2 linked regions of the Stegostoma tigrinum genome follow. The protein of the gene in region 2 binds, or shares a complex with, the protein of the main gene of each other region. Links are inferred from orthologs where the notes say so. Each region holds a gene or a part of one and is shown on either strand. Other genes may lie near its edges.

Evidence for each region.
Region 1: the proteins of eif2b4 (region 2) and eukaryotic translation initiation factor 2 subunit 1 are in contact, whole or in part, in a cryo-EM structure (PDB 6O81), measured with the Homo sapiens proteins. The link is inferred for Stegostoma tigrinum from reciprocal best matches to the Homo sapiens genes EIF2B4 and EIF2S1. Residues at the interface, in NP_001029288.1 of Homo sapiens: Asn245, Glu246, Glu247, Arg250, Thr285, Ser520, Ser521, Asp522; in NP_004085.1 of Homo sapiens: Met30, Tyr33, Met45, Arg55, Arg57, Arg75, Glu79, Lys80, Tyr82.

The regions. Positions count from the first base shown.
Region 1 is NC_081363.1:69,338,865-69,353,948, forward strand, and holds the start of eukaryotic translation initiation factor 2 subunit 1, read right to left. Parts: upstream 5,644-15,084; 5' UTR 5,348-5,643; intron 5,119-5,347; exon of another isoform or gene 4,928-5,118; intron 1,270-4,927; 5' UTR 1,269-1,269; coding exon 1,028-1,268; intron 1-1,027. Other genes in the region: atp6v1d (V-type proton ATPase subunit D), read left to right, coding at 6,346-6,386, 9,982-10,099, 12,614-12,693, 14,493-14,560. UniProt on the Homo sapiens protein: Member of the eIF2 complex that functions in the early steps of protein synthesis by forming a ternary complex with GTP and initiator tRNA. This complex binds to a 40S ribosomal subunit, followed by mRNA binding to form a 43S pre-initiation complex (43S PIC).
Region 2 is NC_081357.1:46,067,320-46,082,593, reverse strand, and holds the start of eif2b4 (translation initiation factor eIF-2B subunit delta), read right to left. Parts: upstream 8,084-15,274; 5' UTR 8,044-8,083; coding exon 7,977-8,043; intron 5,951-7,976; coding exon 5,919-5,950; intron 1-5,918. UniProt on the Homo sapiens protein: Acts as a component of the translation initiation factor 2B (eIF2B) complex, which catalyzes the exchange of GDP for GTP on eukaryotic initiation factor 2 (eIF2) gamma subunit.

The sequences.
Region 1 (15,084 bases), on a different chromosome or scaffold from region 2:
ACAGGATTAAGAATGAAAATTTAATTAAAACAAAAAATGCTTTGCCAGCCTGGAAGCCAAAAAAAGGTAAGCGCAAAGGTGACAGAGGAACAAGATTTGATGCAACTGGTGTTAGGGAGACCAGACAGGAAAACACTAGTAGAAATATTAAAATGCATGAATGATGGTTTCAGCAAACAAGTTGAAACAGGACCACAGACCATTATGGAAGTGAAAGCTGCCAGCCTTGTGTTAGGGACCAAGTGAATGGGTGGAAGTTTATCTTAGAGTTGAACATGTCGTCCAGTTTATTACAAGTCCTCTCTACCATTAAGTGGAGAGATCGAGTCAGTAGTTAGGGAAATGGACTTTTCAGAATGGGCTGATAAGAATGACTCAGATTCACCACATAGATAAATAAGACAAACTATCACAAGTTGCAATTCACACAGGACATTTGTACATTAATCAAAAAATGAAAATACTCCATTCAATTTTGATTTGGGAATTTATCAAGGATGGCCAGATCATATTTCAAATGTTAATTTGCTTTGTGGTCCAAACATGTTCCTAAGTAAATATGGGAACAGGCACAAGCAGCTGATATTATGTAAAATAACTGATTTATTTAGACCTCTCTCATCACAGCCTAACAAGCAATTTATTTTGAAGTAGGCACAAAAGACCAATGTACACAGAAACATGCTTGCTAGAATTGCCAGGAGATAAACATGATCTATAAGAACATTCCTGCTCTTCTCCCAAAACTATTGGAGCCGAAATATCTACAAGAGAGCAGCTGGGGCCATCATTTAAAGATTGATCCAAATTGCAATGAAACACTGCACCAGGACTCTAGACTTTGACCTCAAGCTCCCCAGTGGGTTTTGAACCCTCACCAGATGCCTCAGAAGAAAAAGCACAACCAGTGTGTCAGAGACTAGTAAACAAAAAGAATGAACTACTGCTGACGTCCCAGTTATCATCTTGATGGTGAGCCATTCCTGAATCTAAAAACATGACAAGATAGTTTGCACAACATGCATACCTTTCTCTTTGTCGACTCGGATTACAACAACACATTCATTTCTACCAATTCGAATCAGTTTGTTGATAGATCGGATACGCCTTCTTGAAAGTTCACTTAGAAGAATCATGCCTTCAATGTTGTTATATTCTAGAAGGCTGACATAGGCACCCATCTCCGCAATGGAGCGGACATTTACCATCACCACATCTTCTACCTCTGGAAACTTGTGTTGGTAAAACCGACAACTAAGAGCTGGCATTCTGAAATATGCAGAAGAAATCAAATTACACTTTGGTATTTCACACCAGAAAGAGCAGACAATGTATTATCGCTAGACTGCGTAAAAATGTGCAGAACCAACAGAATTGTAAAAGAATAATCGAGGAGAGGATAAAACAATAAGAGATCTTAAAAACCCACCACGCAATTTCAGTTTAACTGTACATATAGCTCATTTCAGCCTGGTAACTTCAAGTGAACAAAAAAAGGGAGACCAACACCCAACAATATTAAAAAAATTTCTTTAATTCAGAAGATCATTGCAGAATGCTTTAGATTCCAGAGAATGTGCTTTTTGAAATGTTGAAGTAATGTATAAAAGCATAAAACAAAATTTTCTTTTAGTTAATCCAGTTACTTCAGGAAGTTTGAGATAACAAGGTATACAGCTAGATGAACACTGCAGACCAAGCAGCATCAGACGAGCAGGAAGGCTGACGTTTCGGGTCTAGACCCTTGTTTACAACTCTGCTGAATACTTCTGGATGGTGTTCAGAATTACTTCATATTAAGGAATGGCACAGAATATATGTTTAAAATATGCTGGCATCCCACTTCCATGAAGTGGGATGAGTTCAATCAGTAGGAAGTTGAGCTAAACAAACCAGAAAGAAACCAATCATTGGCTGATCAAAGCATAAAAGCACATCATGTCCTACAATTTGTATAGGTAGAAGCTGGTTTTTTTTGAACATGCACCATCTCTGGTGGATGCAGAATACAGGATTTAGAGGCCTAGTTGAAAAATTAGATCATAAAAACTTAGGAGTGAAATCTGGAAACATTTCCAAACACAAAGTGGCAGAAATTGAGAAAATTTGGAAATTGGTGCGCAATCAAATATGCATGTTAAAATGGGAACTGACAGACTTTTGTTCATCAAAAGTGTTAAGGGAGGTGAGGCAAAGGCAGGAAATAGATCACAGATCAACCATGATCTCAATGACTGGTGAAAAATGATCAAGAAGCCTCTTCCTGGTTGTATCAACATATATGGATCAGACAGAGCAATGTGCTGTCTGCTCAGTGCAAAATAATGGGATTTGTACGATGAAACGTGTAGTTCATATAAATATTAAATTCTGGGACTTTGATTTCAAAACAGAAACAGGGTCAGTTCTGTGAACATAATCATTTTAAAAAGGGCAAAAAACTCATTTGGATTAGCAGCTAGATAAATGAATTAAGGCAACGTGTGACTTTAATCAAGTGCCTGACAGAATCCCTGTGATGTTAATAGATGAAACATTTATACTGTTGTGTTTACAACTAACCAGAAAGCCATCAGTTTTAGTTTTTGAGTTCAGTTCAAAACAGAAAACAATTTCTCTAAAGGTGGAGAATCAAGCTTTTCGTTCAAGGAAACAATCACTATAGCTGAAGAATTTAGTGTGTGGTGCTTCCAATTGAGAAGAGCTTGGATAGAAATTTCCAAGTTGATAGAACAGAAAAAGTTTAGGTTATCACAACTGGGAGCAATTCATGTCAGTAAAACTATAAAACTTCCCCTATGATCTGAGGGAAAGAATTTAGGAGGAGTTAGTTAAATAACAACTTAAGATTTGAGATAACAGTGAAATTTCAGCTGATTCTATCGATATAGTACTGAAGCTTGAATATTGTACATTGCACTGACTAGTGTTTTTACGTGAAATTTCTTTGTTAATGGTGAGGGAAAGAGTTAGAGAGAATTTGGAACCACAGGAATTTACCTATGAAGGTGTGTTTTCATGACCTAGCTTACTGCTAGAATAATTGAAAATCATCCCATTAGTTACACTTATCCTCAAAATCTCATCTCTTCTAATACTTTTCCCTTCCATTAAAAGATGCACTGGCTTCTGCTTTCACTGCTCTGTGTCAGAGCAGGGCAAGTTCCTGCAAGTTTATCCTAACTTGCCGAACTCATTTCAATTGATGTCCTCCTACAACTGACCCAGATTTTAAAACAGCTGTTGGCCAAATTGCCTCGCAACCCTTCATAATTTTAACCTCTTAGTCTTCTCTTGCTCAGTGGAAATGTTTCTGAACTCTCAAGCCTAAATTCTCAAAAAGATGAACACCAAATCATGAGGTCACAGAATGAAACAGAGCAGAAGAGACTGTTCAACCCATCGAGCCTGAACCAATACTGGCGGTTAGCCCACAGTCTTGAACGTTCTGACATGCCAAGTACTGAACCATGTACTTGTTATAGCATGGAGGCAATTTGTCTCTACCACCTTCCAAAGAGGCACATTCCAGACTGTCACCACCCTATGGATAAAAGATTTTTTCCACATATCTCTCAAACCTTCTGCCCTCACCACTGACCCTCCAACTAAGGGGAACAGTGGTTCCTTATCCACTATATCCATGCCCTTCATAATCCTGTACACGTCAATGAGATCGCCCTTTAGTCTTCTCTGCTCCAATGAAAACCCAAGCCTATCCAACCTTTCCTCATAATTCAAGCTTTCTGGCCCACAAGGCCAGTGCAAGATGCCAAAACAAAACTACACTTGTAATACAACAGATCAAGCCCTGGTGCTTCCATGGGAGCAAAAAGGCAGAGTATTCTGACAGCAAAGTTTCAGATGTAAAAGATGCCACTAGAAGCTGGATTTCCACTGGGCCCACAGTTTCAATTTTACTCCCATGAGGCAGAGTCTCACCTTGATTAAACAAGGCTGCAGACTGCCATTCCCAACACAGAAGAAGCCAAGGGACAACTTGCTGATAGGACCATGCATATGAATTGAATTCCATTAATTCCCCAGGATATAAAGAAACAAGACTGGACACCCTGGTGGAAGGCACTGTCCCTACTTCAGAGCCAGGAGGCCCAGCTTCAATCCTTCAGATGTGTGTCATAATGTATCTGAGCAGCTTGATTAAAATAAAGTACCACAATGGGACTCTTAGGAGGTACCTACCTCTAAGTCAAGGTGTGGGCCTAGGTTCTATGTGTGGAATGACATCTCTGAACAGATTGATTAGAAGATATCAACAGTACTAATAAAGTTTGATATTGACACTTTGTAGGAAGTTTCCAATCTGCCATTGGAGACTTGCACATGTAATTATTCCAACACCAAACAAGAAATTACAATGGAGCCATGAATCAACACCTAAGAACATATTTTGAGGCAGGCTTCAGATGTCTCAATAAACTTCAATCAGAAATCAACAGCAGCCTCCAGCCAACACTAATTGCATATATCAGTTCAAACTGACAATTAATCTGACCATTTTTGTGACACAACTGATACTTCATGGTACAATTTTCATTTCAATGCTATTTTCAATAATGATCATCTGTACTTTATTTCATGTAAATAGCTTCAGGACAAGGATTCAGATTTGGACAAGGCTAATAAAAAAAAATATCTATCTACAAAGAAATTAGAAAACTGAAAAGCAGTCAGCAATAATGCAGTCATACCTCATTTGAATACTTCATCCTACTCGTGACATAATGAAGATCTCTTTAAAACTTTAATTCCAAATACCTAGTCTGACAGAAGTATGAACTTCAAGCCAAACCTAGTTCAATTCCTAAATCAGCAAAGATAGAAAAGAAATTCCTTGATCACGAAGTGAATATTAAGGCCTTTCATCCCTTGGGATTTCACTTTAAGAATGATGCAATCAAAGTACCTTCCATCTGTGAACTTCAAGAATCCTCAGTTTAATCACAGTGGCTGTAATTATTTTCTAATCAACCTGTTCGTGGAATACCTCTGGAACAGATGGGACTTCAACCTGGATCTGCTGGGTCAGAAGTGGGGACATCACCACCCTGGAAGCTGCCACATTCCAGGTGGTAGCTTTAAAGTGGAGTGAAAAATGGCACGAGTGATAGAAAGAGGCCGCACAAAAAAAACACACAGAGAGAGAGAGAGAGAGAGAGAGAGAGGCCCGGATGGGCCCGCAGGTGAAGCCCGAGTTGAGGAGCCGACATGACCATAAAACATGCTGGCATTGGGCCGGAATCTAGATCCGCCTTAACCAGCGAATCAGTGGCGTGGGGGGTGGACTGCGGCTCCCGATATGAGGACAGCACTGGGACTCACTTACTTGAGCAGAATCTGTAGGCAGCGCTGCTGCGAACGAGGACGGTCAGCACCTCAGGCCCACACTCCGACTCGCGCTATTTCCGTTGTTCCCACAATTACTTTTCTACGCAGGCGCGACGCCGTTTTCCGTAACTGTTACGGCGCACGCTTTATTCTGCGCAGGCGCGGCAATGTTTATCCTCACGTTGCACCGCAGAATCTGAGATAACAAGGTGTACAGCTGGCTGAAGAAAACAGGCCAAGCAGCATCAGAGGTGCAGGAAAGCTAACGTTTCTGCAGCTCCTACTATCTCTGCACCGCAGAATCTCTCGTGCGCAGCGCAAGTACGTCCCTTCGCCAGAAACCCCGCTTCTGCGCAAGCGCGGAGCTGCGACCTGAAGCCGAGAGGAGGGCGGAGTGAAACGTCACTCCAAGTAACCTTGGAAGTCGCGATCGATATCGCGGAGCGGCCTTGATTTGTAGCATTCATTCATTAGACGCGACTCACACACATTGTGCTTTTGCACGATAGCTTTGTTAGGTTTTCGCTCTCTAGTATTGACGGAGGACTGGAAATGAAGGGGCAGCCGGGTGTAACGACGTGTCGCCGCCATCTTGGTAAAGGATCGTAGATAGTTAATAACAGCGAGATAAAACGGTGAGATATGGAATTGGCGAAGCAAACAGCAACACTAAGAGATACTTCATTTAAAAAAATTAAAATCCCCATCTAGAATATTTGGACGACGGTTAACCCGGTGGTGAGGGAGGTCACAGGTCACCTCCGCCCTGTCACGTGATGTTGCCAGCTGCTGATCCGTGGAAACCAACAATTTGCTCGAGTCGACCGAAGAAAGTTAGTAGAAAATTATAGGAGGAAGTAGCCCCACTAGGGCTTAGCCTTACAACCTGCTGAAGGTCACGGGACACTCCTTGTCGATTGCAAAGATTTTCATCTTTTCCACCAGCTATTGGATCTTCCCCCCCCCCCCCCCCCCCACCTCAAGAAATAGCCAAACATGTCAGGCAAGGAGAGGATTGAGATCTTCCCATCGCGAATGTGAGTGTCAGATTTTTGATTACGGTTTTTAGCCATCTCAAGTTTGACTTTTGCTTTAGTGCTCCGACCTGGAAATTTTAAAGTTTAGCATTTTAAATTTTGGCTCAGGTGAAGGGCTGTTGGAATGAAACTGCGTTTAAAAGTGCTGGCCCATTTCTTCCTGAATCATCGAACTATTTCCAAATAAAGGAACTTTTACAGTCGAAACTAAATAAAAATTGAGAGTGTCAGTCGGAGATTATAACACAGACAGATAATTAATGCAACGGTGCCCAATTTGCATGACAGATTCCAAAATTTCGCAATCCATTATTGGATCAAAATTGGCATTGCAATTAGAAATCTCTTACAAAAAATGCATGAATCACTACATATTGCTGAATTTTTAGGAACGTGTTGAATACAATAACATGGAAAGACAAACTAAACATTTGTTTGTTTAGCTGCATTGTGAAGATTTTTGAAATACATGTCACCCTCAATGGCTACAATGTTCAAGCTGATTGACTTTTGATTTTTGAAAAAGGTAGACAATAAGGGATGGGTGTCCTCTAAACAATTTTTATTAGACATACTATATAATACACCAATACTTGTGAGATTATGAAATGGTAATAATTCAAACATGGTAGAAATAATTATGAGCTCTTCTGCAGCTGTGGAATACTTTATTGATAATTAATGTTGCCAGAATTTGGAATTCACCCACAGCACATTGTTTCCAACTTTTACATTCTGTCTGATTTGGAAAAGTTGGTATTGTTACGTTGGCCATCTTCACAGCCCCCTTTACCAAAATTATTTAACTGCCATACATGGGAATAATTTCTCAGATGCATTGTTGTAAAAGTATAGCATATAGTAATTGTCTATACTGATAAGTGGCCATCCACATGCTGTGGTAGCACACCTACAGAGGAGGTGAATTCAAACCGTACTGCAGGATCTGAAATGTAACTGATCTAGTGTTTCAGCAGAATAATAAAGGGGTGCTGCATTGTTGGAAGTACTGTTTCTTGAATGGAATAACAGTTCAGGCTTGTCTGCGAGTTCACAAATGCGGGTAGTTCTGGCTAGTGTCCTGTAATAATCACTAAAAGCAGATGAGGTAGTCTTTTGATAATGGGAACTGCAGATGCTGGAGAATCCAAGATAACAGTGTGGAGCTGGATGAACACAGCAGGCCAAGCAGCATCTCAGGAGCACAAAAGCTGACATTTCGGGCCTAGACCCTTCGTCAGAGAGCCCGAAACATCAGTTTTTGTGCTCCTGAGATGTTACTTGGTCTGCTGTGTTCATCCAGCTCTACACTTTGTTATCTGAGGTAGTCTTTTAATTTCCTATCCATAAGTAAATTATAGAATCACTGATTCCATAGTGTCTGTACCAGTTCCTGAAAGATCTAGTCAGCTAGTCCTGTTCTCCAGCCCTATCTCCAAAACCCTAAAAGTTCCTGTCTTCCAAATATATATCCATCTGTCTTTTGAAACCTATGGAATCTGTCTCCACTGCACTCCCAGAGAGAGCATTCCAAATCCTAACAACTGAATAAAGAAGTTTCTCCTCATCTCACTCCTAGCTGCCTTGCTGACAATCTTGAAATTGTGACTGAGCCATTGACATACTAATTAGCAGAAATTTTGAACGCCTCAATAACGTCATATCTTAATCCTCTCTGTTCAAGGAGAATACGCGCAATTTATCTAATCTTGCCTTGTGTCTAGATACTCTAATTCCTGTTATCAATCTGGTAATATAAGATAACATGGTGTAGAGCTGGATGAACACAGCAGGCCAAGCAGCAGCAAAGGAGCAGGACAACTGACGTTTTGGGTCTCGAACTGAAATGCCAGCTTTCCTGCTCCTCTGATGCTGCCTGGCCTGCTGTGTTCATCCAGCTCTACACCATGTTATCTCAGATTATCCACTATCGGCATTTCCTACTATCTCTGCAGTCATTTTAGTAAACCTGCTTTGCAGTGTCCCCAGGGCTTTAGCATCCTTTCTTAAATAAAGTGCCCAGAATTGAACACACTACTCCAATAGGAACAGGAATAGGCCATTCAATAAGACCATTGCCTAACTCTATATGTCTGCATTGGGCCCATATCCCTTGACAATGTCCAATTTAAATTGACAGTTGAATTAGCATTGACTGCCATGTGAAGAAGAGAGTTCCAAAGCCTTCTACTGTGTGCAGAAGTGTTTTCTAGCGTCTCTCTCTTGAATGGCCTGGTCCTATTTCTTAGACTATGCACACTGATTTGAGAATGTTCCACTATTGGAAATAGGGTTATCCTGTTTTTCCCTGTTAATGTTCCAAAAACCCCATCTTGATCACCCCTGAACTTTCTAGGTTCTAGAGAATAAAGGTCTAATTTGTCCAACCCCTTCTCGTAACTGAACCCCTGAAATCCAGGTATCATCCATATAAATCTGTGTTGAACTACCTCCAGCACCAAGACAATGTTCCTAGGGTGGGGTGCCCAAGTCGGCTCTCAGATCTCTAAGTGGGGTCTGAGGTTTTGTATGACGGTAGCATAACACTTGCACCCTTATACTCCAGCCCTTTGGATATGAGGGCCAGCATTCTGTCAGTCTTCTTGACTATTTTCTGCACCTGCTCATAGCATGTGAAAGAGCTTTGACAATAAGTCCAAGCTGCTTTGATACTGTCATGAGAATGTGAAAGGGGCCATATTTAACATCTAACTCCTTTTACTTGATGTCCTCAGTGACCTTTTTTAATAGAAAAAAAGAACATTTTGGAATAAATATTTTGTATAAACAGTTGTGTGTACATTGACACCAGGAACTGGTTTGGGGGAGTTTAATACGTGATAGAATCAGGTAGCTGAACAAATTTCCATAGCCAAATTTTCACTAAGTCTGGACAACTCCGTTATATTTGTTGCAAAACTCTACCTCATGGATTCAATTTAAAAATGGTGCTGTTGGAACACAGGTTTTGAAAATTGAAAAAGGTTTTTGACCTGAAATATTTGGTTTGGAGGGAATAAATCCTTTTGTTCTACATGTTGTTAATCTGTCATATTAAATATTGTTGTGCTCGTATTGCATTTGTAAGATATCCAATTGAATGATTGATGTCAAGTATGTTTGTGTCGTGAACTGGCCCAAGTTAAATATTTCCCTTAACTGTTATTGAACTATTGTCCAGGTTTGGCTCAGACTTGGAATTATTCATCCATTCTTAAAATAAAATTGAAGTCCATCTGCTTGGTCATTGTTATAAAACACCTTTTTGAGGCAGGTGAGACTTAAACCTGGGTTTTCTAACTCGGAGGTAGGAACATTACACTATACTACCAGACCGCTCCATCTATTTATTTAGCAAGCTAAAGCCATTCATTGTTCCTCTTTTTAGAAGCATAAATGCTTCCTACGTGCACTGAAGCAAACAGGCTCTTCCCATCTTTATAAAGAGAAACATGAATGACCTTTTCTTAACACATCAAAATGAAAACTGGGAGCAAAAATGTCACGTCTTTCTGTCAGTGGAAGGGTTCCTGCTCATGCAAAGAAATGAGTGGGCAGAAGAAGTAAACCTAACCTTTTTTTGCATTTGCCACAGGGCACAAACTATAATGAAGGCCCGTTTGAAAGGTGCTCAGACTGGTCGCAACCTACTGAAGAAAAAGTCTGATGCCCTTACACTTCGCTTCAGACAAATCCTGAAGAAGATTATAGAGGTGAAATTTATTTTCAAGGAACAATTATAATAAATTTAACTAAACCTTACTATTTGGTTTTTCTCCTAAGCTCACAACACACATTTAGCAATGTTATTGCAGTTTTTAACACAGCAGTCCTGCTCATTCATTGTCAGTTCTATTTGATTTCTACTTGTGTTCATTTAACCACACTTTATTTATGTGCACGATATCTTGGCTATGTTTTGTGCTGTCAACCAGGGAAACAGAATCATCTTGTTTAGTGAAGTAGGATGTCACGAGAAATGCAATAGATGATTACAGTCTTGACCCCCAGCTCAATGTATTTTGCTGTTGTACAGGGTGTGAGCATTGTTACCAAGGCTGACATTTGTTGTATATTGTTAATTGCCTTTGAACCCTTGATCTGTGTGCCCATCTAGGTCATCTTCAGTTAAGAGTTAATCACAAAGTTATGTACCAAAGAGACAGTGTAGGCCAGTCATGGTAAGGATGGCAGATTTCCTTCTTAAAGGCTGTTAGTGAATATGGGTTTTTACAAACATTGTCTATTTTGACACAGTTCCCATTAAGCTAGCATTAAATTCTAGATTTTGATTTTAAAAAAACACAATTCAAATTTCATTATCTGTTATGGTGATATTCAAATCCATGTCCCAGAATATTAGCCTGCGGCTCTGTTGAATGGACGTGTGGCATTACATCACCGTTTTCCTGATTAGATGTTTCTGTTGAGCATGCGCACTAAGGTGGTATAATGAGTTGCACACTTCTTTGTGGCCAACGCGCACGCACACACATTGGCAGAGGATTGTGGGGGCAGGTCATCTTGAAACATAGAAAATAGGAGCAGGAGAAGACCATTCTACCCTTCGGGCATGTTTCTCCCTTCAGTATGATCAAGCTGATCATACATCTCTGCTTGAATTAGAATTAGAATCCCTACAGGGTGGAAACAGGCCCTTCGGCCCAACAAGTCCACACCGAACCTCAGAACATCCCATCCAGACCCATCTCCCTATAACCCACCTAATCTACACCTCCCCGAACCTATGGGGAATTTTGCATGGCCAATCCACCTACCCTGCACATCTTCGGACTGTGGGAGGAAACCGGAGCACCTGGAGAAAACCCACTCAGACACGGGGAGAATGTGCAAACTCCATACAGACAGTTGCCCGAGGCGAGAATCGAACCTGGGTCCCTGGTGCTGTGAGGCAGCAGTGCTAACCACTGAGCCACCATGCTGCCCTTGCTTGTGCTTTCTCCCCGTACCCTTTTATCCTTTTAGCCATCACAAACTAGATCTAACTATCCTTCTTAAAAATATATATCTTAGCCTCAATTGCTTTGTGCGATGGAGAATTCCACAGGTTCACCACCCTCTGCACAAAGGAATTTCTCTTTATCTATTTCTAAATGGCTACATCCTTTGACCTCTGCTTCTGGATTCCCTTCTTGTGTTTACCCTGGCATGCCCTGCTCGAATAGGTTCCTATGAAATTCCACTTATTCTTCTCAACTCCAGTGAATACAGTCCTAACCAATCCAGTGCCTCCTTGTATGTCAGTCCTGTCATGCCAAGAATCAATCTGCTTAACCTGCCTTGTACTTCCTTCATAGCCAGATAAGGAGACTAGAACTGCACTCATTACTCCAGATGTGGTCTCACCAAGACACTGTGGCATTGCAGCAAGACGTGCCTGCTCCTGTACTCAAGTCCCCTTGCTATGAAGGTCAACACACCATTTGCCTGTCTCACCACCTGCTGCACCCAGATACCTACTTTCAGCAACTGGATCCAGATCTTGTTGGATCTCCCCCTTTCCCAGTTAATGCCATGCATTATTACATGTAGTTCCCTCATTTAAATCATGGATATATATTGTGAGCGTCAGGGGCAAAGGCGCTGATCCTTTGTAGTACGGCACTGGTCACTGGCTGCTACTTGGAAAAAAGTTCTGTTAATTCCAACTATGTTCCCTTTCTTGTATCTAACAACTGGTTTTCTGTCCATGTCTGTACATTACACCCGGTCCCAAACGACTTAACTTTACACGCTAATGTCTTACTGTAAAACTTCTGAAAGTCCAAGTTAACTGCATTCAGTAAAGTTCCAAAAGATTTGTCAAGCATGATTTCCCTTTCATAAATCCATAGTGAACTTTTTCCAATTCTGTCATAGTTTTCAAAGTTCTGTGCTATTAAATCTCATAATGACTTCCAATGTTTTCCGTATTACCAATATCAGCCTAACTGATTAGACCCTGTGTTCCCTGTAGGACATCACGGAAAACAGTGAATATGTTAATTAAACTAAGGCAAATGGCAGAAAATGAGGGCATCCTCGCAGATTTTTGGAAATTACTATTTCTATTATATAATCCATAAATGAACCAGGCATTTTATTTTCAATGAAACAAAAAAAACCTTGTAGCAAAATGAAATCAAGACAGTCAAACCCTGTGTTTCAGTATAATGTGGCACTGCTGACTGATACATTTTGCATTATTTTTGGTTTTCACATCTCAGACTAAAACACTGATGGGTGAAGTAATGAGGGAAGCGGCCTTTTCCTTAGCTGAAGCCAAATTCACTGCTGGAGACTTCAGGTGAGACTGCAGTTATCAAAGATTTCTTTGTAGAGTGACCACCTTCTTATCTGTAAATGAGGCTTTGGGAAACCAGTCTTGGTTGTTGGTGTTTGGAGACTATTGATTTGGTGACTTGGCTGCCCTTCACTTGCTCCATGGGAGCAGTTAAGGTATGAAAAATTGTTATATGCTAAAAGGGACCGTTAATGCATGTTAGATTCTTTCAATTGCTTATAATTGCAGAGTCTATTTTGTACTTTACATGCACATGCTGAATTTGAAATATTCTTGACTGTAAAGGTTGCTCATTAAATGTGCATGATTAAGCTTATAATTATCAGCATTGGTCCATTAAAATTAACATAATTTTTGATCAAATAATGTTAGGAATTTGTTGCCTAAAATGTAAATTATCAGATAATTTAAATCCATTAACTTCAAGTTAAATAGATTAGAGTTTTTGGGGCTCAGTGGTTTGCACTGCTGCCTCACAACGCCAAGAACCCAGATTTGATTCCAGCCTTGGGTGGCTGTCTGCGTGGAATTTGCACATTGTGTCCGTGTATGTGTGGCTGCTACTTGGTACTCCCACAGGCCAAAGATCTGTTGGCTGATAGATAGGCGACAGTAAATGCAGGGTTATGAAGAGCGGGTAGGGAACTAGTTCTGAGTGGGATGCTGTTCACAGGGTTGGTGTGGATTTGATGGGGTAAATAGTCTCTTTTCGCACTGGAAGCATTCTAGGATTCTGTGACCAATATTTGCAGAGTGTACAGTTGCTGTCTCAGCCGAGCATCCATTGACCACAGCATAAATTTAAAATCTTTATCCAGCTACTGAAAATGGTTAATTATATACTTGATTTGTATTAAATTTAAAGTAAAAGATCCATCAACCGGGTTCCTCTGATAACAACATTATTGCTTTATTTTGAAACGAGACTTTTCAACAAGGTGTAAATTGGATTAAAACACAGAATGAAAGCATAAGTATTTGCTCCTCTAAATAACCCCTATGCGTGCATATCAATTAAAGGAAAATTATTTTCTCAGCAGAGAATATTTGACTAATGTGGTTCTCTTTATTAAATTATTAGTTGGTTCTTAAAGGAAAAGGAAGGACAAAGTATGAAATGCTGAAATAGCTTTTAGTCAGTGGTTTAGTGCACACAGGCAAGAGTCACTAAATGCAGGCAGATCTCACTGGGACCTTTGCAGATGCAGTTCATTCGGGCAACGTAAAGAGGTTGATCTCTTATAGCAGTGGACTCTCTGGTTTGGTAGCACCTGTTAGTGAACTGTACCTCGACTGAACACCAAACAGTATCAAAAACAAACTAAGATAACAAAGTGTAGAGCTGGATGAACACAACAGGCCAAGCAGCATCAGAGGAGCACAAATGCTGACGTTTCGGGCCTAGACTGTGTTCATCCAGCTCTACACTTTATCTCGGATTCTCCAGCATCAGCAGTTCGTATTATCTCAAAAACGAACTAACTTCTGACGGCCGTAAGCCCATACATGTGACATCCAATAATTAAGACCATCAGTTAGTTTAAGGCATGTGACTTCCAAGAAGTGTCTTAAGAAACACCCTGATGCCGTTTGGTGATCCATTTTATTTATATATAAAATGTGTGTGTATATTGTACGTATGTACAAAAAAAAGTTCAAATATATTGACAGACTTTTCAAATGAACACATGTCTGCTATCCTTCAAACATGAATCTTCAATATTAGTTATGAAACACCTTCATACTTACAAAGTACACACAGACTAATGTTGCCACTAATATACTGGTTCTGTTCTATGCAGTACTACTGTGATCCAAAATGTGAACAAGGCACAGGTTAAGGTCCGAGCTAAAAAAGACAATGTAGCAGGTGCGTTTTTATGGGGTTTTTGGTATCATGTTTCTTTTGTGAGTTGTTTAATTTTGTAACTTGGATAAGTATGACATTTGGAACAGGATTTGCAAAGAAATCCAGTTTGATAAACCAGCCCTCACACTTAGATTTCCAAAAATACATTAGAAATTATACAAATGATTTAGACAGTGTAGGAGAGTGGTCCAGGAAATGGCTGATGAAATTCAATGTGAGTAAATTGAGTTTTTGCACTTTGGAAAAAGAATACAGGCATGGACTATTTTCTAAATGGTGAGAAAATTCGCAAAGCAGAAGTACAAAGGGATCTGGGAGTGTTGGTCCAGGATTCTCTCAAGGTTAACTTGCAGGTAGAGTCTGTAATTAAGAAAGCGAATGTAATGTTGTCGTTTATCTTGAGAGCGTTGGAATATAAAAGCAGCAATGTGCTTCTGAGGCTTTATAAAGCTCTAGTTAGGCCCCATTTAGAATACTGTGTCCAATTTTGGGCACCACACCTCAGGAAGGACATATTAGCCCTG
Region 2 (15,274 bases):
AATGTGAGGCTGGATGAACACAGCAGGCCCAGCAGCATCTTGATGCAGCTGGACCTGCTGTGTTCATCCAACCTCACATTTTATTATCTTGGATTCTCCAGCATCTGCAGTTCTCATTATCACTGATACAGTTTTCTGTCTAAACCCTTCTTCAGAATGGGGGGAGGGGAAGAGGGTTCTGAAACAAATAGGGAGAGGGGAGGAGGTGGATTGAAGATGGATAGAGGAGAAGATAGGTGGAGAGGAGACAGACGAGCTAAAGAGGCAGGGATGGAGCCAGCAGAGGTGAGTGTAGGTGGGGAGGTAGAGAGGAGACAGGTCAGTCCAGGGAGGACAGACAGGTCAAGGGGGTGGGATGAGGTTAGTTGATAGGAAATGGGGGTGCGGCTTGAGGTGGGAGGGGGGGATAGTTGAGAGGAAGAACAGGTTAGGGAGGCAGGGAAGAGTAGGGCTGGTTTTGGGATGCGGTAGGGGGAGGGGAGTTTTGAAGCTTGTGAAATCCACATTGATACCATCGAGCTGCAGGGCTCCCAAGTGGAATATGAGTTGCTGCTCCTGCAACCTACAGATGGCACTGCAGGAGACCCAGAATGGACATATCATCTGAGGAGTGGGAGGGGGAATTGAAATGGCTCACGCCTGGGAGGTGCAGTTGTTCAGTGCGAACCGAGCATAGGTGTTCTACAAAGCGGTCCCCAAGCCTCTGCCTGGTATTCCCAACGTAGAAGAGGTTATAACAGGCATAGCGAATACAGTATACCACATTGGCAGATGTGCAGGTGAACATCTGCTTGATATGGAAAGTCTTCTTGGGGCCTGGGATGGAGGTGAGGGAGCAGGTGTGGGGGCAGGTGTAGGGCTTCCTGCAATTGCAGGGAAAAGTGCCAGGCCTGGTGGGGCTGGAGGGGAGTATGGAGTGGACAAGGAAGTCACAGAAAGAGTGCTCCCTCCAGAAAGCAGACAAGGGTGGGGAGGGGAAAATTGTCTTTGGTGGTGGGGTCGGATTGCAAATGGCGGAAATGTCAAAGGATAATGCGTTGGATCCGGAGGTTGATAGAGTGGTATGAGTGGACGAAGGGGATTCTTTTGGTTGTTATTGCGGTGATGGGGTGTGAGGGATGAGTTATGGGAAATGCGGGAGACACAGTCAAGGGCGTTCTTGACTACTGGGGGGTGGGTAAGTTGCAGTCGTTGAAAAACTAGGACACCTGAGATATACAGGAGTGGAATTCCTCATCCTAGGAGCAGATGCAGCAGAGGCAAAGGAATTGGGAATAGTGGATGGCATTTTTTTCAGGAAGGTGGTTGGGAGGTGGTGTATTCTCGGTAGCTGTGAGAGTCTGTGGGCTTGAAATGGATATCGGTTTCTAGGTGGTTGCCCGAGATGGAGATGGAGGGGTCCAGGAAGGTGAGGGAGGTGTTCGAGAGAGTCCAGGTGCCTCCCAGTCTACAGCTACCTAAAATACACCTCCTCCCACCCACCTTCCTGCAAAAATGCCATTCCCCTATTCCCAATTCCTTTACCTCTGCCGCATCGCTCCCAGGATGAGGAATTCCACTCCCCTACATCTCAGATGTCCTCATTTTTCAAGGACCGCAACACCCCCCCCCCCCCCGGCAGTGGTCAAGAACGCCCTCGACTATGTCTCCCACATTTCCCGCTACTTATCCCTCACACCCCGTCCCCGCAATAACAACCAAAAGAATCCCCCTCGTCCTCACATACCACCCCACCAACTTCCAGATCCAATGCATCATCCTCCGACACTTCCGCCATTTGCAATCCGACTCCACCAATCAAAGACATTTTTCCCTCCCCACCCTTGTCTGCTTTCCGGAGGGACCACTCTCTCCGTGACTCGCTTGTCTGCTCCACACTCCCCTCCTGCCCCACCATACCAGGCACTTTTCCCTGCAACCGCAGGAAATACTACACCTGCCCCACACCTCCTCCCTCACCCCCATCCCAGGCCCCAAGATGACTCTCCACATCAAGCAGATGTTCACCTGCACATCTGCCAATGTGGTTTATTGCATTCACTGTACGTGTTGTGGCTTCCTCTATATTGGGGAGACCAAGCGGAGGCTTGGGGACCACTTTGCAGAACACCTACACTCGGTTCGCAATAAACAACTGCACCTCCCACTCGCGAACCATTTCAACTACCCCTCCTATTCCTCAGATGACATGTCCGTCACGGGCTTCCTGCAGTGCCACAACAAAGCCACCCAAAGGTTGCAGGAGCAGCAACTCATATACCGCTTGGGAACCCTGCAGCCCAATGGTATCAATGTGGACTTCACAAGCTTCAAAATCTCCCCTCCCCCTACCGCATCCCAAAACCAGCCCAGCTCATCCCCGCCTCCCTAACCTGTTCTTCTTCTCACCTATTCCCATCTCCCACCTCAAGCTGCACCCCCATTTCCTACCTACTAACCTCATCCCATCCCCTTGACCTGTCCGTCCTCCCTGGACTGACGTATCTCCTCCCTAACTCCCCACCTACACTCACCTCTACTGGCTCCATCCCCGCCTCTTTGACCTGTCTGTCTCCTCTCCACCCACCTTCTCCTCTATCTATCTTCGATCCGCCTCCCTCTCTCTCTCTATTTATTTCAGAACCCTCTTCCCCTCTCCCATTTCTGAAGAAGGGTCGAGGCCCGAAATGTCAGCTTTCCTCCTCCTAAGATGATGCTTGGCCTGCTGTGTTCATCCAGCTCCACACCTTGCTATCTCAGATTCTCAAGCAACTGCAGTTCCTACCATCTCTAACACATACATAGATATAGGCAGGGGTCAAGGATTGATGCTTCTGGAACATCAGGGATAGTGGTGTGGAAGTGGAAGGGGAATGTCATTTAAGCGAAATGGGGGTCAACTGCATCAAAGCTGCAGAGGGATCAAAAAAAAATAAGCCCGATTGGAGGGCGTCAATAATAAATTTTGGAAAAAATTGGCAGGGATTCAGAAGGCAGCAAAATGTTCAAGGATCAAACAGCATAATAAGGTGGAGGATGGGATGGTTATTAGCAAGGATAATGCGGTCAAGGTTTTGTTTTAAGAGAAATGATGGCAGATTTTTTAAAAAGACAGGAGGAGAGGAGGGGGCGACAGAGGGGGGTACAGACAGTGAGGCAGGCAAGCGTACAACACCAGGAGATAGAGCAATTAAAATGCTGGATAGCATGGGGATCAAGAAGGAAGTTCAGCAGTTAGTTGTTTAAAGGTATTAAGATTGAGGCAGCAAGGGGAGTCTCATGGACCAGTTAAAGAAAAAGTGCACGACAGGAGATAGGAAATAAGTTTGTTAGAGAAGTGATTTTGGACAAGGGCAATTTATTAGATGGTCTTGATTAGAGTGGCAAAGTCCATGAGTTCCCCATATTTATTGCTATAGGCTAGAAACCAGCTCAGGCACATTGTGACCCAGTTTTTATGACCAAAACATGACAGTAACTTCCAGGGGCCTTTCTAAAAAAATCTTCTCAACAGTGATAACTATGTTTTAACATGATAAATGCATTTATCTACTTCTGTTCTGTATAACTCTATTACTCTGTAATGAGCTGCCAGAGGAGGTGACGGAGCCAGGCTCAACCACAACATTTAAAAGGCATCAGCATGGGTATGTGAATGGGAAGGGTTGGAGGGAGATATAGGCCAAATGCTGACAACGAGGTCTACATTAGTTTCGGATGTCAGGTCAACATGGGCAAGTTGGAACGAAGCTTCTGTTTCCATGTGGTATAACTCTACTATGACTCTACTTTACATAGAAAATGTTTATTATTATTCCTTTTTCAATGAGCAACACCACAGCAGACCCAATGAAATTATTTCCTTCTCTTTTTATTCAGTTTCCATAGGTTTAAACTGGGGAAACAAAAGTTTTAACACAAGGGTCCTGAGTTCTTTTTTTTCATTAAGTTAGTTCCTTTAACTTTTGTTTTACTGCTTGGAGTGAAAGTTACATACCACATGACCATTAACACTAACTACAAGCTTTCTAGAATTCAACTGATATGGGAGGTCTACTTTAACTTAATCATTCAAATCAAACAAGAACCAACTACTTTGTAAATTACTTGATGCAAAAACTGAGTCCATTAATCCCAAAAGCAAATCAAAGAATTAATTTTTTTTTGTCTGTTTGTGGATTAAGTACACATACATTGCTACCAAAGTCTACCCCGAAACCGAAAAAGATCCACAAGTATAAAGCTTCAGACTCTATTTCAAAATGGAGGATTTTCAAACAAAACAGTCAAACATAGTGAGACAGTTCACAAGGTAGAATTCAAGTCACATCCATTCTTATAAAAATATTTGCAGTCATTTCAAATTAAACTTGGTTTACAAGTTCTCAAATATTTCTAGTTACACTAGATATTTGGATGTTAAATTTGAACATAAATATGAAGTAGAAGCAGAGTAAGAAAAGTTGCTCCAAGGACACTGTCCCATTTAATTAGATGATGGCTGATCTAATTACTCCACCTTCACATCCACCCCAATAATATTTCCGCCCCCTTACTTATCAAAAGTCTATCAACCTGAGCCTTATAAATATCCAAGGACCCTGTTTTTCACCACCCTGTCAAAGTCTGGAGAATCCATGACCTTCTGCTACTAGAAAAAATTCTCATTACGTTCCGTGTGTAATGAAAATCATTTCCAACATTCTGTAATAAGAATGTAACGCTCAGCCAATGGACAACTCTATGAATTGCTGGGTGGCAACATTTCACTCTGCCCAGCAACAGTGACACTATTTATAATGAGATTTTCAATTGATCATTTAATACAATTCCAGAGTCACAGGCTGATGGAGACAGACAAGAACAGAAATGTTCTACATTGTTAAAGGCAAGAGAACGACAGACTTTGCGTAGTAAAGGTTCAGGAATACCCTGGAGTAATTGCATAGCTCAGTGCAGCAACTGCTTAGGGAAGTTCTGGGAGACACAAGGGGCTCACACAAAATTATGCCCTATGAAAGTCAGGAAAGCTGAGAATGGGTTGAAAAGGCCACAAGCAGTATTTTGTTGGGAAAACTGTACAAGATTAGAGAGAATATAGAACTCATGGAAAAATCCAGTGGCAGTTTACATTTGAAGACGGTTGACAATGAAGAGCTGGAGTCATGCTTGTGACTAAGTTCTGGAGCGACATTTTGGTGTCCAGGGGAGAGGAATCTCAGGAAAGGAGAATTCACAAAAGCACATTCTGTAACTGAGGTAGGCTATGACTAAGCAGCCTTTGAGCAGGTACTTCAAAAACCAGATGAGCAAAAGTGAAGAATTGTGAAACCTTGTGAAGTTTATTGGATTTGATGATCCACAATGTCATTATCATCAGGTGCAGGGGAATTGCTGAGAAATCTATGGCATCAATCTTGATCCTATTTACTATCTGATGTGTGCTGCCTGGTGTAGGATCATAGTTTATTATCCAAAATCCTCATGTGATTTCTGAGTGTAGGAAAGAACATGTATTGCAGGGCAGTTGCTTCCCATATCTTTTCCTACTGTGAGCCCACTTCAAGGCTTGAAAACTGCTGAAAGCTTTTGGAGAAAACTTAGAACTGGAGAAAAACTAATAAAGCAAAGGTGGGGAAAGAAGACCTGAGAAACAGAGGATCCCCACAAGCAGTCATTGCTGCCTTGAAACTTGCAACCCCTATTCAGCTCCTGATCCACACTTGCAAAATGCACTACGGTTGCTACATTGTAAAGTTTATTGTTGCTTTTCAAAACCATAGAGTCTTGTGGCTTTATTCCCTTACTAAGTCGACTGCATCTTACATTTTGAGCATTTAAACATAAAGTTACTGATCCTTAACCAGATCTTAACATAAACTTCGGCAGTAGAGGCCAGAATTATAACAACTATGACAACACAAAAAGACAGCACCTACCTTTTGTGGGTTGATTTTCTTATTCTCGACATCTAAAATAAACAAACACAACGCAGCAAAAAAGTTAGTGAGTTTAACGTACTTTTCATAGATAAGATAATAAGATCAGTCATTTTTACTGGCTTTTATGACCTTGTGTGCTTTAGCCCTATTACTTCGCCTTACTTTGAAATTCTTGGAGGAAATGTTGAAGCCAAGGAGAATAATATTAAAAATCTTACTGATATCATGACTCTCATCTGATGGCTGTTTTTAATTTCTGCTACATCAATTATATCATTTGGTGGTTTATAATGTTGTAAACTGGATTACATAGGATACAGACAAAAACAGGCAATTCAGCCCAACCAGCTTGTGCCAGCATTATACTTTCTCATTTATGAGACAGCAAATGGTAAAAGGGTTGAGAACATATTTCAGCACTGGCCAACTATATCTATTAAACATGTTAATAAAATGTGACCATTTTCCAAATGTCACACTTCTAAAACAGATCTGACTGAATATACTTCTAATTTTAAATAAAACCATTAAATAAAGACAGACCTTGAACTTGCTTCAGGCAATTAACTCCTGATTTTACTTTTGTCCAAAGTTAACATTCTTAACCCACAAGTTAATACAAGGGATACTGAGTTAGATACTGATGGGGTCACAATCTTGGAAGGTGTCTGCATCTCAATTTGTCTTCCACTTTCTCCAAAAACCCACACCAGTTGAACTTCCTGCACTTTGTTTTTTCATACTTATCTTCATTATGTTGTTCCTTTAATGATACATACAGTCCTTGGGTCTTGCACGTCTTTTGTTCTCAACAGGTTTTCTTTTGCCTTACAAGTATGTCACCCAAACATCTTTTGTCCCTCTGGCTAATCACCTCACAGGGAATTCTTGAACTTTTTCTGTATACATCTAGGTATTTCAACCACAATACTTCCTGCCGTCAGATTACTCAAATATTAACTTTACTGTCATATATATACGCCCTGACTAGCTGAGATTTGCTAATATTCTTCTGAGTTTTTCACTTTTTTAATGTAGATTGAATTGTACAAATTGCCCTGCTCACCAAAAAGGACAGGAATAATACAAACATGCAGAAATTGTTGGAAAATCTCAGCAGATCCAACAGCATCTGTGGAAAAAAAGCAGAGTTAACATTTTGGGTTCTGATGAAATGTCACTGGATCCAAAATGTTAAGTCTACTTTCTTTCCTGCAGATGTTTTCGGCTTTGCTGAGCTTTTCCATCAGTTTTTGTTTTTGTTTCTGATTTCCATCATTCCTGGTGGAAAAGATATGAAAATCATCAATCAATCTCAAGCTTCTGCTGCTGGAATTTAGAATCATAGAGATGTACAACACAGAAACATGACTCTTCAGCCAACCAGATATCCAATATAAATCTAGTCCCATTTGCCTGAATTTGGCCCATATCCTTCTTAACCTTTCCTATTCATATACTCAACCTGATGCATTTTAAATGCTGTAATCATACCAGCCTCTAGCACCTCCTCTGGCAGCTCATTCCATACATGCACGACCCTCTGCATGAAAAAGTTGACCTTTAAACCTATGCCCTCTAGTTTTGCACTCCCCCACCCCAAAGAAAAGATATTGACTATTCACCCTATCCATACCCCTCATGATTTTATAAAACATCGATAAGGTCACCCCTCAGCCTCAACACTCCAAGGATAGTAGTCCCAGCCTATTTAGCCTCTCCTTTGAGTTCAAACCCTCCAACCCCAGCAACAACCTTCTAAATTCTTTCGAATTAAATTATAAGGCTCTAAGATGAATAACAGTCACACATAACAAAATGGGTATGTGTTACGGGGCTCTTCGCAGACGAAAACAGAAATGAACATCTTGGAATTAGCAAAACCAGGAGTCTCAGGAAAGCAACATATTCTGCGTCGCGGGAATTGCATCAACTTCCGGTGATAGAATTACACGAGGCCGCCCAACAATAATTCTTTCAGTAAAAGCTCAAGACTTTCTTGTAATTGTAATCTATCCCTTCTGTTGAATAACTTAAGAGTTAATCGAAGCTTACCCGGAGCAGAAGCTGCGCTCACGCTGCTACCCGGAACGCGGGGACACACTCTATCTCCTTCAGACATTCTATACACTATGCGTTACTGCGCCTGCGCATACCCCTCTCTCTGTCTCTGACACCTCACCCCACCCCCCCCCATCCGCGAAAGAGTGAAAAGTGGATACGTGCATGTTATCCACTATGTATGTTCCCTCTCGAATGTGGACTTACTGACATTAAAAAAAATAGAAAATGCTGGGAGTACTTAGGGCTAGCAGCATTTGTGTTGAGAAAATTGATATTTATGTTGCTGACCTTCCATTGACCTTACATATTAACAAAACAATGAACAACACTGAAGAGGAACAGGCCCTTCAAGCCTGCACCAACACATTTTGCCCTTCCATACTAAAACTGTCTTCCCTCTATTCCTTTCCTATTCACAAATTCATCCAGGACTCCCATGAATGCTGCTAGGCTACATCCTAATAAACCTTTTTTTTACCCTCTCCAAAGCTTCAACATCCTCTGATAGTGTGGTGACCAGAACTGTGTGTAATTTTCCAAGTGTGACACAACTAAAGTTCCATAAAGTTGCAGCATAACTTATCTATTCTTGTACTCAACACATCTTCCAATTAAGGTAATCATGCTGTAGACTTTTTATTAACTTATCTCCCTGCACTGCCACCTTCAGTGATCTGTGGGCCCACACACCTGGATCCCTCTGCTAATTAATACTCCTAAGGGTCCTAACTCACCCAAAGAATGTAAGAACTGGGTCAGAGATAACATAGGTTGGACCTGGAGAAACACAGCAGGCCAGGCAGCATCAGGGGAAGATTGACATTTCAGGTCGGGATCTTTCTTCAGAATTTTGAAGAAATGCCCAAAACTTTAACTCTGATTTTTTCTTTACTGATGCTGCCAGACCTGCTGAGCTTTTCCAGCAACTTCTGTTTTTGTTCCTGATTTACAGCAACAGTTCTTTCCATTTCTATTTGGTGAGATTTTAAAACTGGTAAATTCAAACCAGTTTTAAAATCTCCTAAACCCCTGCCTCCTTGACCTGACACAACCTGTCCATCTTCTCTCCCACCAATCCCCAACCACTCCCTTCCTTCACTCACCTATCACTTTCCCAGCATGACCCCCTCCTCTCTCTATTTATTCCTGAGCTCCCTTCCCCCTCCCCATTTCTGCGGAAAGGTCACGAGACCTGAAACATTAACTCTGTTTTTTCCTTCATAGACACTGCCAGACCTGCTGAGCTTTTCCAGCAACTTTGTTTCTGCTCCTGATTGGAAGCATCTGAAGTCCATTTGTTTTTTTTTATCCAGGCCCGAAACATCAACTTTCCTGCTCCTCTGATGCTGCCCAGTCTACTGTGTTCCTCCAGCTTCACACAGTGTTATCTCCTAAGGATTCTGACATTCACTACGTGATTTCCACCTGTATTTGACCTTCCAAAATGCATCACCTCACATTTGCCCAGATTAAACTCCATCTGCCACTTTTCTGCTCATGCCTCTGATCTATATCCTGCTGTATTCTCTGACAATCCTCCTAACCATCCACAACTCTATCAATCTATGTACCATCCTCAACCTTACTAATTAGACTATCTATGTTTTCCTCCAAATCATTTGTGTAGACCATGAACAGCAGAAGTCCCAGCCCTGATCCCTGTGGAACACCACTAGTCACAACTCTCCATTCTGAAAAACATCTTTCCACTACTACCATCTATGTCCTATGACTAAGCCAATTCTGTATCCAGAGATAATGGGAACTGCAAATGCTGGGGAATTCAAGATAACAAAGTGTGGGGCTGGATGAACACAGCAGGCCAAGCAGCATCTTAGGAGCACAAAAGCTGACGTTTCAGGCCTAGACCCTTCATCAGAAAAAATGATGAAGGGTCTAGGCCCAAAATGTCAGTTTTTGTGCTCCTAAAATGCTGCTTGGCCTGCTGTGTTCATCCAGTCCCACACTTTGTTATCCATTTCTGTATCCATTCTGCCCACTCACCCCAATACCATGTGACTTCACTTTTTGCATCAGTCTGCCATGAGAGACCTTGTCAAAGGCTTTACTGAAGTCCATACAGACAAAATCAACTACTTTTCCTTCATCAAGCATCCATATCACCTCGTCAAAAAACTTGATCAAGTTAGTGAAGCATGACCTCTCATTCACAAAACTATGTTGTCTATTACTAATAAATTATTTGCTTCTAAATGCATATTACTCTTGTCCCTGAGAATCTTTTCCAATAATTTCCCCACCACCACCACCACCTGAATGCAGACTGTTTTTCTCCACAAGCACTGGTATTTCTGGCATTTTTCTTTCATGTTCAGATTCTGAGCAACTACAGTACTTTGCTTTTGTATTTAATCTATATTATTGATTGGATGCGGGACAGTTGAAATATTTTCAAAACAGCTGCTGATAAAACTAGATGGGAGTGTTATAAGATGGACCCAAGGGGAGTTTAAGTGTTCTTGGATTGGCTAAGTGAATGGGCAAGCACATGGTAGATGGAATAAAATATGAAAGTGTGTAAAGTTATTTACTTTAATTAAAAAAAGGCAATATTTCATAAGTAGTGAGAAGCTGGTAAGTGTGGGGACCAGGATAACTTTATTTACGGGTCACAAAAGCTAGCATGAAGCAACAATCAATAAGAAAAGTAAACTGTATGGTGATCTTCATTTTGAGGGTATTGGACTACCAATATCTAACTGCAATTGTATAGAGGCTTGGTGAGACCACAATTCAATTATTATGTGTGGTTTTGGTCTACTTATCTCAGGAAAGGCATAAGTGCCAGAGATGGTGCACGACACTTCATCGCTAATTATTGTGTCACCAACAGAACTGGTTACATGGCTTTCTATGATTGGTCATTATGAAATACTATTTTTTTAGACAGTCTGTCAAAAGCAAGGATGATTTTCCATCACTTCATGTGGCCAAAGATTGTGTTGGCACACTTGAGTTTGAATTTCATTGCTGATATCTGCCCTTGATGAAAAGGTGCTTCCAAGGTATGAGAATTGATCCATCCAATAGCTGACCATAAATGTTGATAATTGGAGGACAGCAGTTCATGACAGGAGCAGGTTGGTAGAAAATATTTTCTGATCAATCTGCTAAGAGATATAATGACATACTTCTAGAGCAGATAAGATTTGAACCCAGGTTTTGTTATCTTTCAGATGTTTAGCCTATCGCCTATTCCTCTAGTATTCTTTGGTGAGTGCCTGGATTGGAGTTCAGCCACTGAGTATGTGCATATGCAGGGACATCTGTGTACTGCAGCTCCATAACAGATATTGGGATTATGGAAAATAGAACATTACAGCACAGTACAGGCCCTTCGGCCCTCGATGTTGTGCCGACCTGTCATACCGATCTCAAGCCCATCTAACCTACACTATTCCATGTACGTCCATATGCTTATCCAATGACGACTTAAATGTACCTAAAGTTGGCGAATCTACTACCGTTGCAGGCGAAGTGTTCCATTCCCCTACTACTCTCTGAGTAAAGAAACTACCTTGACATCTGTCCTATATCTATCACCCCTCAATTTAAAGCTATGCCCCCTTGATTGTCTTGGTTCTGGATTAGAAGTAAAGCCATTTGAATAGTTTCACGTTCATCATGGGCAGAAGTTTTATGCCACTCGATGCAGTTCAGAAGGATGATGGCAAATATCATTGAAACTTCCAGGATACTGAGAGCCCTCAATAAAGAGGATATGGAGAAGATGTTTCCACAAGTAGTAGAGAGTAGTACCTGAGGGCACAGTCTCAGAGTGAATGGATGACTCTTTAGAACTGAGATAAGGTGGAATTTCTTCAGCCAGAGGGTGGTGAATCTGTGGAACTCATTTCCTCATAAGGTTGTGGAGGCCAAGTCAGTGAATGCATTTAAGACATATAAAAGGTTCTTGTTTGGCAAGGAGATCAAGTATAGGAAGAAGGCAGAGAATAAGTTTGAGAAATGTATCAGCCATGACTCGAATTCTGCTCCTATATCTTATGGTCTTATGGCATGTATCATGGATATGTGGTGGATTGTTAAAGCAAGGAAGATGGAGAAGAGCATTCCTTGTGAATGACCATCTTCCAGTTTGCACACATATTAGGTCTGCGATGGTTCTGTCTGGGAGGATGAGGATCATGTTTTGTGTCTTGTCATGCAGGAGAATGCTGACAAATTTCTTCAGATGACCAAAACTTCAGTAGGATCAATTGTTACATATTTTGTTTTGTCTCATAACCAATGTCCAAATATCTCAACTCCATAACTCTGAGTGCCCATGCCTAACAACAATCAATCAATTATAGATCCAGGGACCTGGGTTCAAGTCCAGTCCTGGTGAATGTCTGAGTGGAGTTTGCACATTCTCCCCGTGTCTACATGGGTTTCCTTTGCACGTCCTGGTTTCCTCCAATGGGCCAAAGATGTGCAGGTTAGGTGAATTGGCCATACTAAATTGTCCATAGTGTATAGGGTTTGCAAGCTAGGTGAATTAGCCATGGTAAATGTGGAATTGTGAGGCTATTCGGATATGGTAGGGGGCCTAGGATCTGGGTGGGATGCTTTTTGAACAGTCAGTTCAGACTTGATGGGCTGAATGGCCTTTTCCCACACGGTAGAGATTCTATGAAAATGCTGTCTCGTACCTGTGGTTTGGTGGAGTCAAAGGCTAATGTGAGGTTGCGGACAGTCATGTATGAATGTTCCTGCTGCCCTCTGTGCTTTTGTTTTGGACTTGTATGAAAATCACGTCCACTGTGCCTCATATTGGGCAGACTTAAATACAGTGAGTAGCACAGCACTGACTCTGGAGAGTGGGCTCATCTATTGTGACAACATTATAGAATTTTAAAAGAGATAGACCGGTGGCCTAGATGAATAGGTGGCAGACAAATTTCAGTGTCAAAAGTATGATGCAATACACATTGGTACAAAGAACATGGAGAGAAAGTATAAAGTAAGGGTACTATTCTAAATGGTGTCCAAGAGCAGTAAGACCGGGGTGTAAATGTAAGTCATTCGGGTGGTAGGTAGGTAGAGAGAGTTATTGATTAAGCATAGAGAATTCTAGTCTTAATTAATCGGAGATTAGTGTATGGGAGCAGGGAACCTAAATTGTAACTGATTAGACGTTTGCTGGAGTATTGTGTAAAATTCTGTGTGTCCTACTTTGGGATGGATGTGAACATATTTCAGACAGCACAGAAGATGTTTACGAGAATCGTTCCACAGATGAGAAGCTTCAGTTTTGAGGATTGATTGGAAACATTGGAACTGTTTTCCTGGGAGAGAAGGCTGATGGGAGATTTGACAGAAGTTTCAAAATTATGAGGACTGTGGACACAGTAGAAAGGAAGAAACTGTTCCCACTTGTAAAAAGATCAAAAATCAGAGAACACAATTTTTAAGTGTTTTGCAAAGAAGCAAATGTGTGGTGATGGAAAAATCATCACGGATCTGGGTTTGAAATGCACTGCCTCACGATGTGTTGGAGGCACATTCAGGCAAGGCATCCAAGAGGGCACTGGATGATTACTTAAAAATAAATAATGTGCAGGGTTTTGTGGAACAGGCAAGACTTTGTCACCATGTGAAAATGTTCAGAGAGTTGGTGGTGACATGACAGCCAAATGGCCTCTTCATGTATTGTAACAACTGTGTTTATGGTGGAAGAGTATCTGAGTGTCTTTGTTTACATTCCTTCATGGAATATAGAGGATTGTTGGTTAGGCAACCAGAGGGTAGTTAAGAATGAACCACATTGCCGTGGGACTGGAATTATGTCAGGCAACACTAACAGATTTTCTTCACATAAGGTCATTAGTGAACCAGATGGGTTGTTATGATAACTGACAATCGTTATACAGTTGCCATTTGGGGATAACTTTATTGAAAACAAACTCCAGTATGTGCCATGAGATAGTAAGAATTGCCAATGCTGGAGTCAGAGATAAGACAGTGTGGAGCTGATGGCGCACCTTCTGGCCTGAAATGTCAACTTTCCTGCTCTGCTGATGCTGCCCAGCTTGCTGTACGCGTCCAGCTCTACACTGTGTTGGATGGATTTGAACATGTGTCCAGAAACTTAGCCTGAGTTTCTGGATTAGTAGTCCAGTGACATTGCCACTTCAGGAGGAAAAGAGCATCTGTGTTGTAATATAGAGAGATTTTCTAACAGGAGAGGTTGTCTAGGGACAAAGTCTTTCCAGTGGTGTGGAAAAGCTCGTGCGCTGTGTCTGAACACAAGAAACAGGAGCAGGATCCATTCTCTCGCCCGGCCCCTGCTCCGCCATTCAATACAAGACCAGGAAGCATCCAATCTCGGCCTCAACTGCCCGCCCCACCTCCAAGCCCCTGACAAAAACGTTGACACCCTCACAATTAAAAACGCTTATCTCAGCAGTGCAGTTATTCAAAAGCTCAATGAAAACAAAACAGAGCTGGAGGTAACAGTGGGTCAGGCAGCATCCACGGAGAGAAAACAAAGCAACGTTTCGAGTCTAGATGACTCTTTATTAGAGCTGAACTTCACCAGCTCTGATGAAGGATCACCTAGACTCGAAACATTAGCTTTCTTTCTCTCCATGGATGATGCCTGACCCACTGTATCTCGAGCAGTTTTTGTGTTCAGTTTAGATTCCAGCATCTGGAGTCATTTTTTCCTCCAAAGGCTCACTGTCTCTGTGTGTGCGTGAAAGCTTTCCTTCGAGGTTTGCGCGGTTTTGATGTTTACGCGCTGAGATCCAAATGCGTGTTAAATTAAATAACGGCCAACTTGGCCCTGTGCTGCGGCCAGCACCGCCTGATGCCAAGTCGGGGCACTCACCGAGATCACAGCTCCGGCCAACTGGAGCTATCATTGTGTCTGCGGGGGAGACAGAGGTCAGCATCAAACCATCATAAAACCGAAATCACGAATAAATCCGTACCCAACACATCGCTCGCATCCAGATGGGGTTTAGACTCAACAGGTCGTAATCGGAAACGATTGTTTCCTTTTACGGAAAGAGCTGAAGAGTGAGTATTTTGTAACCATCCCTCTCCCCGTTCAGACTTGATAATGTCCAGACCTTGGCGAAGTCGGACTCAGTTGGGCCGGACCATTGTGTAAAAAGGGGGGAGGGGGTGACGTTGTTGTTGTGTGGATCACACGCGCCGCTGATACGTTATGGAGTTTGGGAACTTGGTGTGCTGAGAAAGAGCCCCGCCCCCATGTTGCTCACTCGCACGGACAAGATGGCGGGCGTAGGCTGCTGGTAGAG